Struthio camelus: one gene and its partner. The protein of the gene in region 1 interacts with the protein of each later gene in a pairwise test. Links are inferred from orthologs where the notes say so. Each region holds a gene or a part of one and is shown in the gene's direction. Other genes may lie near its edges. The genes, in order: PRR22 and NELFA.

Region 1 (8,823 bases):
CCATGTGGGGGTGACCTTCCCCTCCCCCCCACAGCGGAATAGTGCTTTCAAACACCTTTGGCTGCATGGCACCTTTTAGTGATTTCTGCTAATAATAGAAGAAATGCAGATGCTTTTGTTTTTAAGGCATTGTCCAAGGTACTCCCAAGTCTTGTATCCGTTACAAAAGGGGGCGACTCCTGCAGTGCTTTGAAATAGAGCTTTTAAGCCAAATAAGCATTATTCCAGGGTTGAGGAAAAAAGGGTGGAGCCGTCTCAGTTGCAGCAGGGTGGGTAGTCCCTGTCCACAGTGAGTATTCCCTTTTACTGTGAATCATCACTTCTTGTTCTGGATTGTAAATAGCTGAAACATAGTGCAGAAAGCATCCAGCACACTTTAAACCTCTGCTAACCGCTTTTGCAGGCGTCTCTGTTAGCGACTAGCTGGGGTGTACGTCTAGGAAGATCCTTCTCCCGCAAAGTGATGGTGTTGCCTTTCCTCGAAGCACATTGCTTTGGTGCTCCCATTCTGCTTTGCTTTCTCTGGGGCGTTTCGGGTGAGGGTCTCACTGCCGCTTTCTTCTCCTAGCTTCACGGCCGATCTAGGGAACAACGGTACACAAAGGTTGCCGACTGGGACTACATAGCAGAATGTGCTAAAATAGCAAACCCCATGCCTCTTTTTGGTAGGTGTTTCTGTTGTTTTATCCTGCCTGAGATCACATCTCAGTAGACTGAAAATGCTGCATGTTTTGTTTAAACGATGGAGAAAAAAAAAAAGGCCCCTAAGTGCATGCAGTCTATGGGAAAGGCTGGAGCATCGGTATGGCTGGTGACGACACCACGGAGCATTGTCCGAGCGTGGAGGTGGCCCAGCTGTCCCAGCAGCGACTGCCTGCTTTGCTTTTAAGTGCAGCTCTGCTCTGAGAGAAAGAGCGAGCAGACAGACACCATCATGTCCAGCAGAGCCACTTCAGAGCAAGGTCGTTTGTGGCAGGACTTCATTTGGGCAAAAGAACGGTGAGGAGGAATCTGCCTCCCCTGCGTGCCGTGCGTGCCAGGTCTGGGGCACCAGCTTTCTTGCCTGAAGTCCCTCCGGGCTTTTCCCAGTCTGTACCATGTGCAACCAGCAGCTCTTGGGCAGCTCCGTTCTGCCCAAGCGCTTGGATCTCCAGGGCCAGGTCTAACAAACGCTGAGCAGGGCTAGGAGGGGAAGGGCCAGGTAAGACACATAATGCACCTCATTTATAGTGTTTTTTCTCCCTCCTTTGGACACCATAACGCGGACAGTCCCAGCTAAACCTTGAGGGTAGTAGTTGGGATTGGGGCAAAAGGAAGAGAGAGTTCTTTTCCTTGTAAGGGGACTATTAATCAGAAATAGCCTTGGGAGTCTCTAAGCATGAGTCCCAGAGTCTGTTTGGACAGCCTGGCTCTTAGGCACTACAGCCGTTCTAAATTTTATCCCATGCCTGGATTCACTCATTCTGACTTGCCCTGGTGCATCACTTTGACCTCTGGCTTCTCCCTCCCTTCTGACACAGGAAATGGTGATATTTTATCTTATGAAGATGCTAATCAAGCCATGCAGATGGGTGTTTCAGGAATTATGATTGCAAGGCAAGTGACTGTATTTCCCCATTCACTTCTATTTCCCTGGGCTCTATTGATGCAGGAGTAAAAAATAAATAAAAAGAAAAAGCCTAAACAAACTCAAAACACAGGAAGAGTTTCCTCTTGAAGAAACTACTCTTTGGAACTCAGTGGAGTCATTTGTATCTGTGGGAACTTACAGCAGCTTCTTATCGAGATTGAAAGCTTTTAAAGTCACACTGGCTGGCAAATAAGAGCTGGAAAGTCTCTTAAATTAGTTGGCATCGCCAGAAGCATGCAGTCAGGTGAATAACAATGCCCGTTTTGTTTGACTACAGAGGGGCACTCATCAAACCATGGATTTTCACTGAAATTAAGGAACAGAGACACTGGGATATCTCCTCCAGTGAGAGATTTGATATCCTCAAAGACTTCACCAACTATGGCCTTGAACACTGGGGGTCTGATACTCAGGGAGTCGAGAAAACCAGGAAGTTCCTGCTGGAATGGCTCTCTTTTCTGTGCAGGTAATTCTCCCCAACTGGTAGGATCGTTTTCACAGAAGGCCTGTACAAGTTGAGCAATAGCACACGGTGTCATTAGCATTTATATTTGCATTGTAGGTATATTCCAGTTGGCTTATTAGAACACCTACCTCAGAAAATCAATGAGCGACCGCCTTACTACATGGGGAGAGACTATCTGGAGACACTAATGGCAAGCCAAAATGTGGACGACTGGATTAAAATAAGGTAGCAAAGCACTGAATTTCTTTTTGGTTTCCAGGAGGGGACATTGCAGAGCCTCACAAAGTGACCGTGCCCGTGTGCATCCTCTAAAATGGGATGATCTCTCATTTCCACAAGTTTAAGAGGTTGTAAGAAACCAGGAAGGGTTAACCAGTACTTTACTTCAGCAAGGTTTTTAACGGAGCTTGGGATTTCTCTCATTCCCGGTATCTGCCTTAGCAGGTCATCAAGTACCCAGCACAAATCTAGACTAGCTGACCTCTCTCATGACACTGTTCATCCAGGGACAGTCGAAGGAATCAACGGAGGAGAGCGCAGTGATGGGACGTCTCAGGCTTTTGTAGCATCGGAGATGTCCGTGCTCTGCCCGGACCCTGCTCTGCTGGGCCCATACAGAGCAGGGGAGCAGTCCCCATCCTCAAGGGCTTTCAAACAACTTGTGAAATTAGTTAGGAGAACTGGATATTTTCCTCTTTTTTCATAGTCTGATTTCTGAGTTGATGTAACAGAGCATAGGAAACTGCTTTTCCCCACATCTACGAGTCCTCAGACGGTGGCTGGAAATTGACTCTGCAAGCCCAGAGCCAGCTGAAATGAGAGTTGGAGCAGCGTAGCCAGCTGCTATTTCCCATCTCATGGAAATGGAGATTAGCAAAAGTAGAGCATGGCTACAACCTTCTCTGGTTTTGCTAATCCTCATCCATTTTGTTAGTAATGGGAACAGCTGCCTAAAACCAAGTTACAAGTACACGGAGTTTTGATCCGGATTTTTTTAAATGCCATTTTTCAAGCAGAACCTGCCAGCTTTTGGGTCCACTATGCTTTGTAACCTGTACCCTTTGGAATGCCTTGTAACAGACTCTTAAAAGAACAATTTTAAAAGTCAGTTTAGGTTTATTTGCTAAAGCTCATGTTAAAGAGACACTAACCAGAAGCAGGATTCTCTAAGCACACACTGTTCTGCTTTTGTGCCATAGATTCACAAAGTCCTGTTATGCAATTGTGTGCCCTACTGGGATAGTCTCTGCTGACATGTCTTATGGAAAGTTTTAGTGATGCTGTATTGAACCAGCATCCAGGAAATATGTTACGCCTCCTTGACTATAAAGAAAAGTAATCTGCACTGAAAACACAATGTGGGTTCCAAAGTGTGAAACAGTTGAAGTCTTAAGCTAGGATAAATCTGATTGCAGTAGAGCTGGCTTACATCATTTTCGGATCCGACCTTAATATTTTTGGCACCGTTAGGGTTTTGGCTCTGCGCAAGCACAGCCAGAGGTAGGGACGAGCTTTTCAAAGGCTCGTGATGATTTTAGGTGCATTGTTTCCAGCAATGAGGCTGGTATTCAGGTCACCAAACTTAGGAACCCACGTTGGCATTGACTCTAGGTGACGCCTCATAGACTGAAGGCAGCGCCCATCTCTGGGGGCTTTGTCCCTGCAGCAGGGTTAAAGCTTGGCACCTATGGAGGGGATTGTGTACAACAACCCTTCTCCCGGAGTTTCAGGGCAGTAAAAGCTTGGTCTGATACTTCTGATTACACATACCATCGCTGCAGAGCCCCCAGGGGCTTTGTGACAGCTGAGTCTTGGTGGCCCAGCTGCTTGTGATGAACTGAACACAAATCTTTTCTCTTGTTGCAGTGAGCTGCTTCTGGGACCCGTACCTGCCAACTTCACCTTCCTGCCCAAGCACAAGGCAAACTCCTACAGATAGAACCGATGGGACCTTTCTTACAGCATCGAGTCGAGAGGAGGCTTTGGGATGGCGTGTGCTGAGGAGTAGGTTGCTCAGCTGTGCCTGGGAATTAAATAAATTTATATGTTTTTAGAAGTGTGGTTGCCTTCAGGCCCCCAAGTGTCAGTCCCAGCCACAAGTTAAGCATCAGATGGCCTGGCTGCAGGATTGTGCAAGTGTGAGAGGTGCCTCGTTAACAGAGAGCAATCTGTTTAATTAACAGGATGCAGGCCAGGAGAGATCTTTGGCCTCCAGTGTACAACTGAAGTTATCCTGACTATCCACGCCACATGTCATTCACATGGCAGGAGCGAGAGGCCTCTCTTCGTACCAGGACGTCCTCGGTAGTGCCAAATCCTCCGAGTACGAGGAGGGAACATGTAATCCCTGGGGTCCTGTAGAGCACAAACAGCCCCAGCGTCCCAGAGTCTGATGTTCTGCAGAGTCCAGTCCCGTTTTGGGAGTGCACAGGGCAGATACCCTGTCGTCCTGGATGTCACGCAGCTGGGTGACATCCTCAAGAGAGGCCTAGCTTTTTCCCTCACCGAGAGCCTGAAACAGCTCACAGCTCTGCTCGAACAAGGGCTGGATGAAAGCAGGCTGCTGAGTGACTCTGCGTGACCTTTCCTACCTCCCTCAGGCCCCTTTTCCTCTCTAGGTCTCTAGCATTTAAATAAACGCAGCTACGCGGCACTAGGACTGAGTGCAGCTCGTCCGTGATGGACAACCACGAACCAGACAGCTCAACGTCCGTGGTTCAGCTCAGCCACGTGGGTGCCGGACCCTTCCCGGGGCTGCAGAGCGGCGTCAGTGCCTCGGCTCGTCCCAGCTGCTCTCCCACCCGCGTGCGGCCGTGGCTGGAGAGGAGGAAAGAGCACGGGACCCCAAAACCATGGCTCCTAACTAGGATCTTCGGTGGGGATTGCCATCTCTCCTCCTTTAAAAGTAGCTGCCTTTTGTTTTAGTGCAGCCAGTTTTGCTTCTGTGTTGAAGGCAGGAACTTTGAAACAACAAAAAAATACCTTGAAAAAGCAAGCGGCCTCTTCTGTCGCATCCGTTGTGGCCTCTCCGCCAAGGGAAAAGCAAGTTCCCTGGCAGCGCCCGTCGAAACGCTTGCAGCAGAGGACAGAGCGGATCAAACAGCCCGGGCGAAGAGCGGAGCGGGGCAACGCTGACTCCGGCACATCGCGTCCCCCCGGCAGCGCTGTCGCCAAGGTGGTACCCGCGGGACCCTCCCGGGCCGAGCGCCCTCCGGGATGCCCCAGCCTTGCACAAGTTAAAAAAAGAAAGCAAAAGAAGAGGCGTGAAAATGGCCTGTTTCTTCACAGCCCCGAAGCCTCATCATGGCTCGGTCGCATCCTAGTCGCCAGCAGCAGCTACCGCGAGCCGACGTCACAGAGCCGGGCCGGGCTGCGGTTTCCTCTGCGAAGCCCGAGCGGTCGGCTGCCGGGGACGGGGAGGGGAACGCGGCCGGCGGCGGCGGCAGGGCGAATGCACCATCTCCCGGCGCGCGCGCCGCACTGCATGGGGGGGGACGCGGGACCCCCCCTGCCCCGACCCCGCCGCCTGCCCTCCCGCAGGGTGCATCGCTCCTCCGCCGAGGTGCTAAATCACCCGCCGAGCCCAAGGCAGCTCCGTGCGCTGCCCCCAGGGAAATAACTACCTGGGGGGGGGGGGTCCGGCTCGGTCCTAGGAGCGAGGCGGAGCGGGGAGCCCAGGCGTCCAGCACCATCCTGCCCGGAGCTGGAACGCCGGCTGCCGCCGCGTTCCTTCCCCAGAGACCCCCCCCCCAAACAGAACGGGCCGGGCACGGCAACGGCGCCGGCACCCCCAGCCCCCCCGGCCATGGCGCATCCCCCAGCCCTGCCCCTCGGCCTGCCCCGAAGCCTCTCGGCCGGAGGTGGGATCCAGCCCCCCCCCCCCCCCCCCGGCTCCGTGCCACGCGGCCGCCCCCGAATTTTCTATTGTGATTTTTTTCCCCCCGCCCCCCCCCGCAGGCTCATCCAACCTCTACCAGCCGCCGGGCCAAGAGAAAGAGGCGTTCGCGGCCCCGCCGGCAGGTACACGGGCACCCAGCGCCCGGCCTCGACCAGCCTATGGGCGCCCATCCGTCCCGGTTCAGTTGCTTATAATTTGGCGCTCGCCCATCTTCCCTCTGCCCAAGCTCCCTTTTCCCACGGTTTTCCGCCCCGTCCCGCCACGCACCGCGCCGGACCCCGGCGGGGGCCAAGCCGGGAGCTTCGGCGCGGGAGGAGGAGGAGGAGGAGGGGGCAGGGGGGACCCCGCGCTCGAGACGCGGCTCTTGCTTCTCAGGTCTGCAGATGGCTCCCTGCGGCTGCTTCTTCGACCCGCGCATCTACCGCATCGAATGGGCCGCCACGGGGTTCCTGCAGCCGCCCGTCCTGCTCGACGCCCAGCGGTACCTCCGCGCCGCCGGCCAGCCGGACCCGTTCGCCCCTTACCAGCCGCTGCCCCGCTACGCCGTCGCCTACCCGCCGCCGGAGGAAGGGGTGACCCCGCCGGGCGCCGCGGTCGGTCCCGCCGCCCGCCGCGCCGCCCCGCTGCTGCTGCCGCCGCCGCCGCTCGGCCTGGCCGAGCCGCCCCTCTGCGGCGGCTACGGCCACATCCAAGGGCGGCTCAAGCCCGTGGCCGACGCCGCGCCGGGGCCGCCCGCCCAGCTCGCCGCCGGCCGCCCCGTCCCCGGCGAGACGCCTTCGCCAGCCCCGACGCCCAACGCCGCTCCCGGCCCGGCGGCCGTTGGCAGCCCGGCGCCGGCCGCCCGGCAGCCCGCCGACCTGCCCGAGAAGGTCCTGCTGGAGGACGCCATGAAGCTCTTCGACTGCTCCTTGGCCGCGGAGCTGGGCCAGGACGAGCTGAGCAGCGTCCTGAAGCTCGGCGAGCGCCCGGGCGCCGACGGCTTCTTCCTCTGCGAGGAGGCGGCGGCCGCCCGCGACATCGGCTCGCTCTGGCTGCCCGAGGAGCTGCTCTCCTCCGACTACAACGTGCCGGAGATCCTCGGCGCCGTGCTCAGCATGGATTATTTCTACGCCATCAAGGTGACCCCCGAGGAGATGGGCTGGGACGCGGGGCTGGAGCCCCCCGACGGCGCCCAAGAAACGCGACGGGAAACGGAGGAAAACGGCTCGTCGCCAAAAACAGGCGGCCGGGCCGGCAGCACGTGCACGGCGTCCCCCAGCCGGCCGGGAGAGCGGGATTAACCCCGGCACGGGGACACGGGGACACGGCTGGGGCGGGCGATGGCACTTCCCGAGGGACGATGGTGTTTTCCTTACTTTTTCTATTAAAAGCGATTCGTGCAGAAAAGGACCTTTCTTGGAGGAAAGCAGCCCTCTCCCCGCTGTCGCTCGGGGCCTTTCACCAGTCACCCCGTTACAGCTGCCGGGGGTCCCCGAAAAGCGGGTGCCAGCGTGGGGACAGGCACGCCGGTCCCTGGCCCCGGCGAGGAGGGAGCAGAGCAGCGGCCGCCCCAGGAGCATCCTCGAGCGCAGGGACCAGGAGAGCTGAGCTGGAGAAAAAGAAGGGGGGGGGGAATTAAGGGAAGAGCAGATGGGATTCGGGAAAGGGGCAGCGGAGGTGCCTTTGAGGATGCTTTCCATAGCGTCAGCATCTGCTCCTGGAGAGCTATCACCACGCACTGACGCGTTTAGAGGTGCGTGCCCCGGGAAGGAGCCGGGCACCCTGCTCGTGCGTGCAGCCCCCCCAGGCTCGGAGCATCCTCATCCTCCCCCCGAGCAGCCAGCACGGCTGTGTCCGGGCAGATTCGTGGGAACTGGTGTCACCAGCCCTCCATGGGACGAGGGCAGACGTGGGGGACGAGGGCTGCAGCACTTCTGCATGGAGCATTGCACGCTCTCACCTCCAACGTGGGGGCAACGTGCCGAGCCCTGCTGCTCCAAAGCCTCCGTGAAACAAATCCCTTATTTCCCACCAGTTCGCAGCCCGTCGCCCAGCTTCTCACCGCTGCAGCAAAATAACCTGCGTACCCCAAGGACAGAGCTGCCCGGAGGGAAGGGACCTTCCCCCCCCCGTCATGCTTAGCTGGGGCTCTTGGCATCCTCAAAACCAGGGAGGGGAAGAGAGAGGGGAAAAAAAAAAAAAAGTGCAATAAAATAAAAATCACGGCAACAGGCCAGAAAGTGCCTGGAATCATCTCTCTTTATTGATTATTTTGCATCGGAGCTCCACAACTCTGTGCCAACGCGGCCAAGGCGCCTTTCGGCGGTCCCCGCCGCGCTCCCCTGCCGCAGCCCGCGCCGGGGGCCGCGGCACCGGCCCCTGGGCAACGGATGGCCAGAGCTCGGAGGCCACAGCGCGGACCGGGAAGAGGAAGAGCCATTCGGGTCTTGCTCGCAGTAGGTGCAGGTTGAGCTACGCATGTCGTTAGCAGTAACCCCTTTGCTCTGGGAGTTATAAGCCCCTTCGTTAAGAGTAGTCCCAGCTAGCGAGCTCGCACGGTTTGGCGACGGTCCGGACCGAGGCAGAAGCAGTCACATCTGGGCGAGCGCGGCAAGTCGCGGCTCTTCGGCGCATCTGCTCCCTCAGCATCTCACCTCGCGAGCCGACCCCCCTTCGAGCATCCTCCTCGCCCCCCAACTCTTCTGAGCCCCGACCGGCTGGACTTCCGCCCTTTGCAGATATCCAAGGGGCCCCTCTGAAGAGAGCTACTCTGCTTGAGAGAAGGAAAAAAAAACAAAACAAAAACCAAAAAAATCCCCCCAAAACTCAAAGTAAAGGAGCCTTAGTGCC
Region 2 (8,584 bases), on another chromosome or scaffold:
CACTCAAACAAAGACCATTAGCCCAAACTTGGCTTGAACTGAATCACCACCCTGAAGCCCCTAAGTGCTTCCACTGAAAAAAACCCCCACAGTTTGCTGGCCACCTGGACCCTCCTCTCTATCACACTGACTAGTTGCTCCTACAGCCTGATTCATTGGTGTTCTGGCTTCTGATGCACTCCCACAGACACGTACAAAGAGCAGACCTATGCCTGCACAGCCAAGCTTTAAGCTTCAGTGTGGTACAGTACTCAGGTTCTGGTTTCATTGTCCCAGAAAAAGGAGAACATGCCGTCCCACTGGAATTCTGCCCAACATGCTGCACAAATACGTAAGCAGGTATCAACAAATGAAGGAAACGATTAGAACATAAGCAAATACTGCAATAAGTGATCTCTATTTTAATAAGTGTAAGAAACACATCAGCAGGAACTCTGGAAAGTTCACGGCATCTGCAGCTACCACTAAAAGCAGGAAACTGTGTCTGTGAGAGTTACGAGCTTGTAAATTCACCTACCTGTGTTATGCACCTCTCCCAACGTTGATGCTGACCGGGATCCAGAGCAAGCAGAGGAGGACTGTGAAATCCAGGTTCTCCACTGACTCCTAGGTCTGGAAAGGGTTTCAGCCCTGCATCTCTAAATCTCCTAAATCACACCCAGAAGACCCAGCTGTATCACACGTAGACTCAAACAGTGCAACAGGATATGTATGATACAATACAGCTTTATGGTAAGACTTAAATAACGTAATTCTTGTCAGGCTGTAAGAGTGTGTCCTTCCTTTTTCTGCCTCCTGGGCTTTTGAGCCTTTCTCCTACTGCTCAATATGGGACCAATGCGAAAGCATTTACAAGCTTTCAGTCCTCTTTACTCTTTCTCCCTGTGCTGATGCTGTGGCCCATATGGTTCAACGTCTTGATCAGAGGCCTGGACAATGACACAGAACATTTCCTTAGCAAGTTTTAAGGACACCAAGTTAGGGAGAGCGGCTGACACGATGAACAGCAGAACTTTATTCAGAGATACCTCAATAGATTTCAGGATTAGGCCAACAGAAACCTCACAAAGTTCAATAAGGCAGAACAACCTCAAATCAAAGCAGTCCGTACAAATAAAGTCCTGGCAACTCTAGGAACGGACACACTAACACCACGCTGATGAGCTACTGATAGTGACAACTGAGGATGTGGAAAAATTAGGTTTCCAAACAGAGAAGGCTGCGTTTCCTCAAGGATGGGAGCTGCACATAAATATGCCACTGTTGCAGCTCTGCAGAGGCTTCAAGGAAATTATCACTGCTGATAATCTTCAATTATCAGGCCTCATTAGCCACTACCACGTCAGGGCCTACGAGTGGCAGTGTATGAAGTGAAACTGTTCTAGAACAAGATTTAAAGCAAACGACCACTTGATTTCCACCTCTCAAGGGCTGTCTTCATGGGCCTTTATCATCCTAGGTTTTAAGTCCTACACCATTTTGAAGTTTATTTAAAAAAAAAAAGAAAAAACATAGAATTGTGTAGCTGAAGTCCTAAGTAAGAGGGTGGGACGGTAATGTAAACATAATCCTAGACATAGGTAACCAGATGATAAACCCTTGCAGTAGCTTGCATCATGTCACATAAATTCACAAGAGAGGAACTAGCCGGTAAACTTTTCATAGCTACGAAAGTACTTTTATTTTTATTTCTGATAGAATAGAGCCATATCCGTTTCAAAAGACTTTGCCTAGCAGGAAAGGTAACTGGTTGTGTCACAGCAGATGCAAGAGGTTACCACAAGTAAGCTGAGCACTTGACTTGAGGAAGTCAAATAATCTGTTTTTGATGGAGTAAATTCTGAGAGTCACCTTTCAGATCCCACTGCTACAGCAAAGAGTTTTAAGACACGTCAAATAAACTCAATTTTGAATGACTGGTTAGCTTAAAAGTGCAGGAAAGAAAGACAGAGGTTTTGATTTTGTTTGTGTGTAGGGAAAAGGCCACCAAAAAGCAATACACACCCTTGTATTTAACAAGTAAAATCTGCTGAGATCACTCAGACAAAAGGAAAATGCAGAAACTTATAAAAAGCAGAGTTTAATGAACTGAATGAAAATAAAAATGGTAATAAATACCATTTTATGGAACCAAGTGCAGCTTAATGATAATTTAATTTATATGTAAAGAAAGTAATACAGTGTTTCCTTAAGACGGTGTGCACCTGAAACACACTGACAGAATACCTCTGTCGCTGGCTGCCATAAAGGATAGTAGCCTGACTGTCAGTCACTCTGTTAGCTCCAGTGACAGACTGAAAGGTCTTAACTATGCAGAAAACTTAGGCGTCAACCTGATACCACATGATAAAATTTGTCTTCTTATTATGCTTCTAAAACTTAAAAAAATGCACTTTAAACAAAGTATGGAAGCATTGAATGTATTAAACGTTTGCAGTGTTCAGATCGCCAGAGTTGCACAAAGGGGAAATAACGTAGCACGCTAAAGTAGCATTACATGTAAAGTAGCATTACAAACCTAATTAGAGTTTTTAAAAGCTCAGTTATTCAGTCTTAATGGAATCCTTTTAATAGTGCGTGGGGGTTTGGGTGTACTATATAGTACTATGCTATACAGCCAACTGCTTTGTCTACCTTCTCGGGTCAGTCCCTGTCATCACAGTATGAATCATAATCTGAAGCACTGCTGGCTCAGAAACTGTCACAGTTGCAACCGCAGGATGCCAATGGGAACTTAGTGCCACTGCTAATGCTAATGATATGTTTATTGCACACGCTTCAGTGCTTTCTAAAACACAGTAAAAGCTGCTGCTTCCCAACTGAGAACTCAATGCCAGCACCGCTCTGAACCCTCTGCCCGTCAGCGTTCCACTCCTCGATTTGGGTGCCCAGCTGAGATGTGCTGTTGCTTCCCCTAAAATAGGAAACTTCTAGGCATTATCCCTGTAACTTCCTTCTGAATATACACAGCTATTCTGAGTCTGATAGCTAACACAGCAGGCTGCCCTCACTGATGCAGCACTAGTTCATCCCAGCATATATATTTTTGGACAGGCAGTGAGAAAAACAGCAGGTCCGGAAATCCCTGGAGCACGGATTTTGGTATGAGGTAAAGAGTTACCTTTCTTGAAACAAATATAAAGTGGATTGGAAGACGTGACTCTTTGGCTGTATCTGCTTTTATGTGAACACCGTCACAATTGGGGAAGTGAATCTAGATTGTCTCCCTGCGATCTGTCTCATAGCATGCTCTTAATATTTCTCAACAATTTAATATCCAGTATTACAAACTTTGAATCAGGGACTTGCAACTCAGAGGAGAAAATATCTGCGGACAGTTATCTGCGTAACCCAACGTTATGTGGGATATCAAGCACTTTCAGAGAACTCAAGTATACTCCATTAACCTACAGGTTCGTGCATCCATGAGGAATGAGCACTTTGGTATTTGCCATATTACTCTGAAAATCACTACCCACACTAGACAAAATCTAACTGAAAAATAAATAAAGCTTTATTATATTCAAACAGAAAGTTAATCTACTAGTTACCAGACAGGACAAAACCATGATCTTATAACTAGCTGGCGTTTTGTCTTAATCTCCCTAAGCTCTGCATGCCCACTCAAGTCAGCAGCTGACAAGCACAGATTTGCAGGTGGTAGGACTGGAGCCACGTTTGCTATATAAAACCTTATATTCCAGATACACCTCAGAGAATAGACTCTCTTTTGGGGGTCACCCTTCAGCTAAGAAAATAAAAATAATTACACCAGAACAGACTAAATGGCCACGCTGCCCACTGCTTTCACCCTTGACAGTGGGCAAAAATAGACGCCCCAAGGGAGCATGTAACAAAGAAAGTATGTAAAAAGTACTCCCTTACCTTCCATCAGTGTGCAGCTTTGGCATCACCTGAGCAAGACGGTACCTAATCCCATACAAAGTCTACCAGAACAAAGTTACCTTTTCAGGAAATGGTCCGTCTATATGAGCTGGTAGAGAGAGGATGTACAATTCTACTTGTGGCACTGTGGTGCTGTAGAGTATTTATCAGCTCTGATGCCTAAAAAACACTTATACCAGCTCTCGGAAACAGTTTAATTCTGTGTGTTAGCTACCGCCTGAACACAATTAGCTGCAAAAACTACAGGGTATTCTGTGATTTGCTTTCTCCAGCCCACCTCCAATAGGAGTTGGTTAGTTTTCTCTTCACGTTTGAAGTTTTCATTGCTTAGCTAATTTTTTTCTAGTTGCAGTATCCCATGGAATATACATTTTCAGAGGTAGAAAACAGAATCAAAGGTGAGACACTGAGATTATGCCTCACCAGCCGATTTGGGGGATTCTGTCACAATTGTGCCACTTAACACTTTTTACTTTCACAACACTTTAGCAGAGTCCATAACCTTCTGAAAACTAGACCTAATTCTGTCAGAGGCTCTATAACGTACAGGAATATACACTCTGCACTTTGGGTAATCTACAATCGGAAACTCTCTCTCCTACCAAGAAGCAAATAGTTCCAATGAACTCTGTGGGATGTCGCACTGCAGTTAGGCACATGCTTAGCTTAAGTCTTAGCAAGGTTGGTGCCTACTTTAAACAACTGGGTATGATTGGCGAAAGCAAAGTTCTGGAGTTGGCAACAAGAATGTAGTAATTACTCCTCAAAACAGTGTTGAAGAGTCAATGTAAAGCTCCTCAGCACCAACTGCTCAGCTCGACAGGTTGTAAACAACCTCCTGATGTAGGAAGAAAGTTGTGAAGAAAACGTTTTCCTTCAAAAGCTTAAAACAGAGAAAGAGAACAAGTGAATGCGCTAGGCACTCCTACCACAGCTCTTGTGCTTTCATTTCAATGAGCAAAGACACTAAAATGAACTCTTTATGCTGTACCTGAAGAACTTGAAATCTTCTGAGATTTAGGTAACTGATTAATTTTTCATATTTAAATAACAATGAGCTGAATCACGAGGGAATGAGCATATGCACAATAACCCCTAAATTTCAGAGTACCTACTGCTAGCATTACAGGCGCAGCGGCAACTTCCTAAATCTCAGCAGCACCCAGCCCAGAAGTCCCTGGGGGAAAACGATGAGAAGGGCAGTTAGCTCTATTTTGGTCAAATCATAGCGTTACACAGAGATTTCATCATCCACCACCGTGCTGGCAAGCTCTGCGGGGTGGTTTCAGGCGGGAGGAAAGCCAGGGGCACACGGAGGAGCAGGAGAGGAGGCACCCCGCACGCAGAGGTGGGTGCACCTCAAGGCGCCATTAGCTGCAGTAAGCAACCCACTCTGCTGGCAGGAAAAGTGAAAAAGGGGGAGCGGGGTGGACACGCTTTTTCAACACAGGCCCTGAGGGCGCTGAGGGGGCCCCAGCGGCTGCCGCCGGGGAGCCAGGCTGCGAGCCCGGGGGGGGGGGGGGGGGGAACCGGGCCTGAGGGAAGGAGACGTGGTGCCACCGGCAGCTGTGCCAACCCCGCGGAGCGGCCCAGCCCTCCCCTCCGAGGAGGAGGCAGGGCGGCCGAGCGGGGCCCTCGGCCCTTCTCCCGGCGCCGCCAACGGCCGCGCGGGGCCAAGCAGGCGGCTCGGCGGGCGGGCGCCCTCCGAGGAGAGGGGCGGGGCCTGGCCTCCGCCTCGCAGCTGTTCCGCCCGGCTCCGCGGCTGGCCGGGCGCCCCAGTCCCGCTCCGCGGCCGAGGGGAGTCTTGGAGGAGTTAGGGCAGGGCGTCGGGAGCAGCAAGCTGGAGCTGACAGAGAAGCTGCCCCATGGTGAGGTTACGCCATCTTGCGATACGGCGGCGGGGGGGGGGGGGATGGCGGGCGCCATTTTGCATCTGAGCGAGACACGAGAAGAGCCTTGGTGGTTTTCTCTGTGTGGGCGCCGCCATTTTAGGTTACGGAAGAATCTCCGCCTTCCCTAGAGCGAGGTTCCCTTGCAGGGCGCCGCCATTTTGGGTTACGAACGAGACGGCGACCCGCAGGGGTCCTCACTCCCCCTCCCCCTTCCTCCCTTTAGGTGTCTTCATAAAATGCCCGTGGAGAATCCCCTCTTTTTTCGCCCCGCTCCCAAGATGGCGTCGATGCGGGAGAGCGACACTGGCCTGTGGCTGCACAACAAGCTGGGCTCCACAGACGAGCTGTGGGCGCCGCCGAGCATTGCCTCGCTGCTCACGGCTTCGGTGATCGACAACATCCGCCTCTGTTTCCACGGCCTCTCCTCGGCCGTCAAGCTCAAGCTGCTCCTGGGGATGCTGCACCTGCCCCGCCGGGCAGTGGATGAGGTGAGGGCTGTGGGTAGGACGTTGCGCGGGAAGCTTAACCGAAACGGAGTGTGGGGGGGGGGGGCGAGGAGTCGGAGATGGCGTGAGGGGAGAAGGAGGGGGGCACCACCTCCCTCCCCCTCCTTTAAATGGAGTCGGTGGCGCCGGGGCGCGCTGCCGCCCGCCTCCCCCCCCCCCCCCCCCCAACGGCGCGCGACGAGCCGTTAGCGCGGCCGCGCCGCCCCTGAGGGGGAGCCCGGCAGCGGCCGCTTCCCCAGGGCGGGTGGGAAGTAATTACCGCCTTCCCCACGGGTATCCCCGCTCCTTCCTGGCAGTTTTGTTTATTTTTTTGTTCCCCCCCCTCTGTAGTGCGGTGCGTTGAGGCCCTGCTTGGAGGCTGGGCCCTCAAAAAGGTGCTCAGGTTTCTCCCCCCCCCGGTTAACGGGAGTGGAGTGGCGGCGTCGCTGCTGCTCCTCTTCCTGCTCGTGAGGGAATCTGTGGTTGGCGCTAGACTTCTCGAAAGCAGGGCTCGGGTTTCAACCTGAAACCTTTCTTAACGTGTCCAAGCAGACTTGTAGCTTTAGGACTATATTTTGCTAGAGTTTGGGGACTTCTGGTGCCTCTTTGGGGAGGGGGGAGGGCTTCTCTGAGCCAATGCTTGCTCTAGGTTTAGGCCCCAGAGGGAAGATTGGCCTCCAACAATAACGTGGAGAAGATCTCATTTGCTTTCTTTAATACTGGCAGCTGTGTGGATATCCACAGGCGAGTATCTCGGATTTAGGAAGGACAGCAGCAAGTGCTGAAACTTTGGGAATGGAAGATCTGGGGTTTGCACTGAGCAGTGTTTTCCCCACCTTCTTGTAGTCAGGACTTATTGGAGAAAATTGCTGTGGATTTTTGCCTCCCCTTACCTTTCTAGGAAGTACTTGTTCTTTCCTTTACTGCCGTGACCCCAGCTAATAATCTGGCTGGCCGGATTTGGATCTGACTTTGCATGGAGTCAGCATAAATCCAGCAGAGTTTATTCGCTTGGCTCTGGACCGTGTGTCATCTGCCGTTGCCTTGTTCTTACCAGTAGGCAGATACAGATATTTGGGGTAATAATTGGAGAAGGATTGGGAAACATTGAGTTTCTTCAGCCAGGTTGGAGGAACTCCTGTTCTTTTATCCAGCATGTGTGGTGCTGGTTTCTGATAACAGTTTTGGAGATAGTGAGTGGTTTGGGCTTCAGCTTTTTGTGTACAGTATCCTCAGTTGTGCTTGTAGCAGTCCCTTTCATGGGTAGGTTGTGCCTCTGTTGCTTACGCTTAATAGAAGTATATACTAGACATAGTGTAGGGAGACTGTGCATAGTTCAGATTATTGTATGCTTTACTTCTGTGCACTTCTAAGCTTAAAATGCAAAAGCATTGCTTCCAAGCAGTAGGTTAGTGTATGCCAGGATCTGTCTTGCCAGATATATCTCTATGGTTGTTACTCTGTTACGCGTAACTGCAGTTGCTTTTAAAAAGACACTTTTTGCTCAGCATATGCTTCCTCTGTTTTTAAAACATGTTTATGCCTTGTGCCTGTCCAGTGCACAAGCATTCTTATTTGGGCGAGACAAATGCAGTTTTGCTTTTTAGTTTTCTACAAACAAAATAACCAAGGCTGGAAAGGGGGGTAGGGAACGACCCCTCAGTTCCCACAAACTCTAAGTATGTAAAATTCTTCTCAAGTGCTGTGAAAATCCACATAGCTTGGAAGAAGAGTCTTGCAGTATTTGGTGAAAGTTAACAAACTAGTGGTGTTTTTAGGCCTAAGAGAAGGGAATTTTAAAAAAGCTTAGGGTCCTTCATAAGTAGTACTCAATGCCAGCTCTATGGTGAGGGAGCAGCAGTTCAAGTCAACTAAAACACTTGGTTGAAATGCTGCAGGAGCGCTCACTGGACTTGCACTAAACCTAATTTTTGTTGTTATTTGTTTAAGACTAATTCAAATCAAGGAAGATGGCAGCAGGCCACTTACTTAATCTGTGCTTTTGTTAGCTGTGGAGATGAAGTGTCATGTGAAGAAGAGCAAGCTGGTTTCTGTGCCCTTTAATGTGTTGTTAAAGTGATCAGTTGTGTTCCAAATGTAAACACTTTTACTGCTATTGCTAGAACAAAAAAAGAGTGTTGTGGGATTTTTCAGTTCTCTGGTAGAGTTGAAGTCAGTCATAAATCCAGTCTTTTAGCTGTAAACAGAGCATGCTTGTTCTAGAGCTAGGGTTTTGCTCTCTTTCCCAGTCCTTTGCAAAGTACCTTAAATTTATTTAAATTATTTCAAGGACTTTTTTTT

Evidence for each region.
Region 2: the proteins of PRR22 (region 1) and NELFA interact in a two-hybrid assay, tested with the Homo sapiens proteins (2 studies listed by BioGRID). The two-hybrid records come from large-scale screens. The link is inferred for Struthio camelus from reciprocal best matches to the Homo sapiens genes PRR22 and NELFA.

Annotation. Positions count from the first base shown.
Region 1 is NC_090967.1:4,123,859-4,132,681, reverse strand, and holds PRR22 (proline-rich protein 22), read left to right. Parts: upstream 1-4,775; coding exon 4,776-4,830; intron 4,831-5,749; coding exon 5,750-5,799; intron 5,800-6,037; coding exon 6,038-6,116; intron 6,117-6,369; coding exon 6,370-7,274; 3' UTR 7,275-7,368; downstream 7,369-8,823. Other genes in the region: DUS3L (tRNA-dihydrouridine(47) synthase [NAD(P)(+)]-like), read left to right, coding at 569-665, 1,521-1,596, 1,908-2,096, 2,193-2,321, 3,963-4,035; la-related protein 6, read right to left, coding at 8,816-8,823.
Region 2 is NC_090945.1:77,948,354-77,956,937, forward strand, and holds the start of NELFA (negative elongation factor A), read left to right. Parts: upstream 1-5,139; 5' UTR 5,140-5,285; intron 5,286-5,571; exon of another isoform or gene 5,572-5,774; intron 5,775-6,021; 5' UTR 6,022-6,034; coding exon 6,035-6,286; intron 6,287-8,584. UniProt on the Homo sapiens protein: Essential component of the NELF complex, a complex that negatively regulates the elongation of transcription by RNA polymerase II.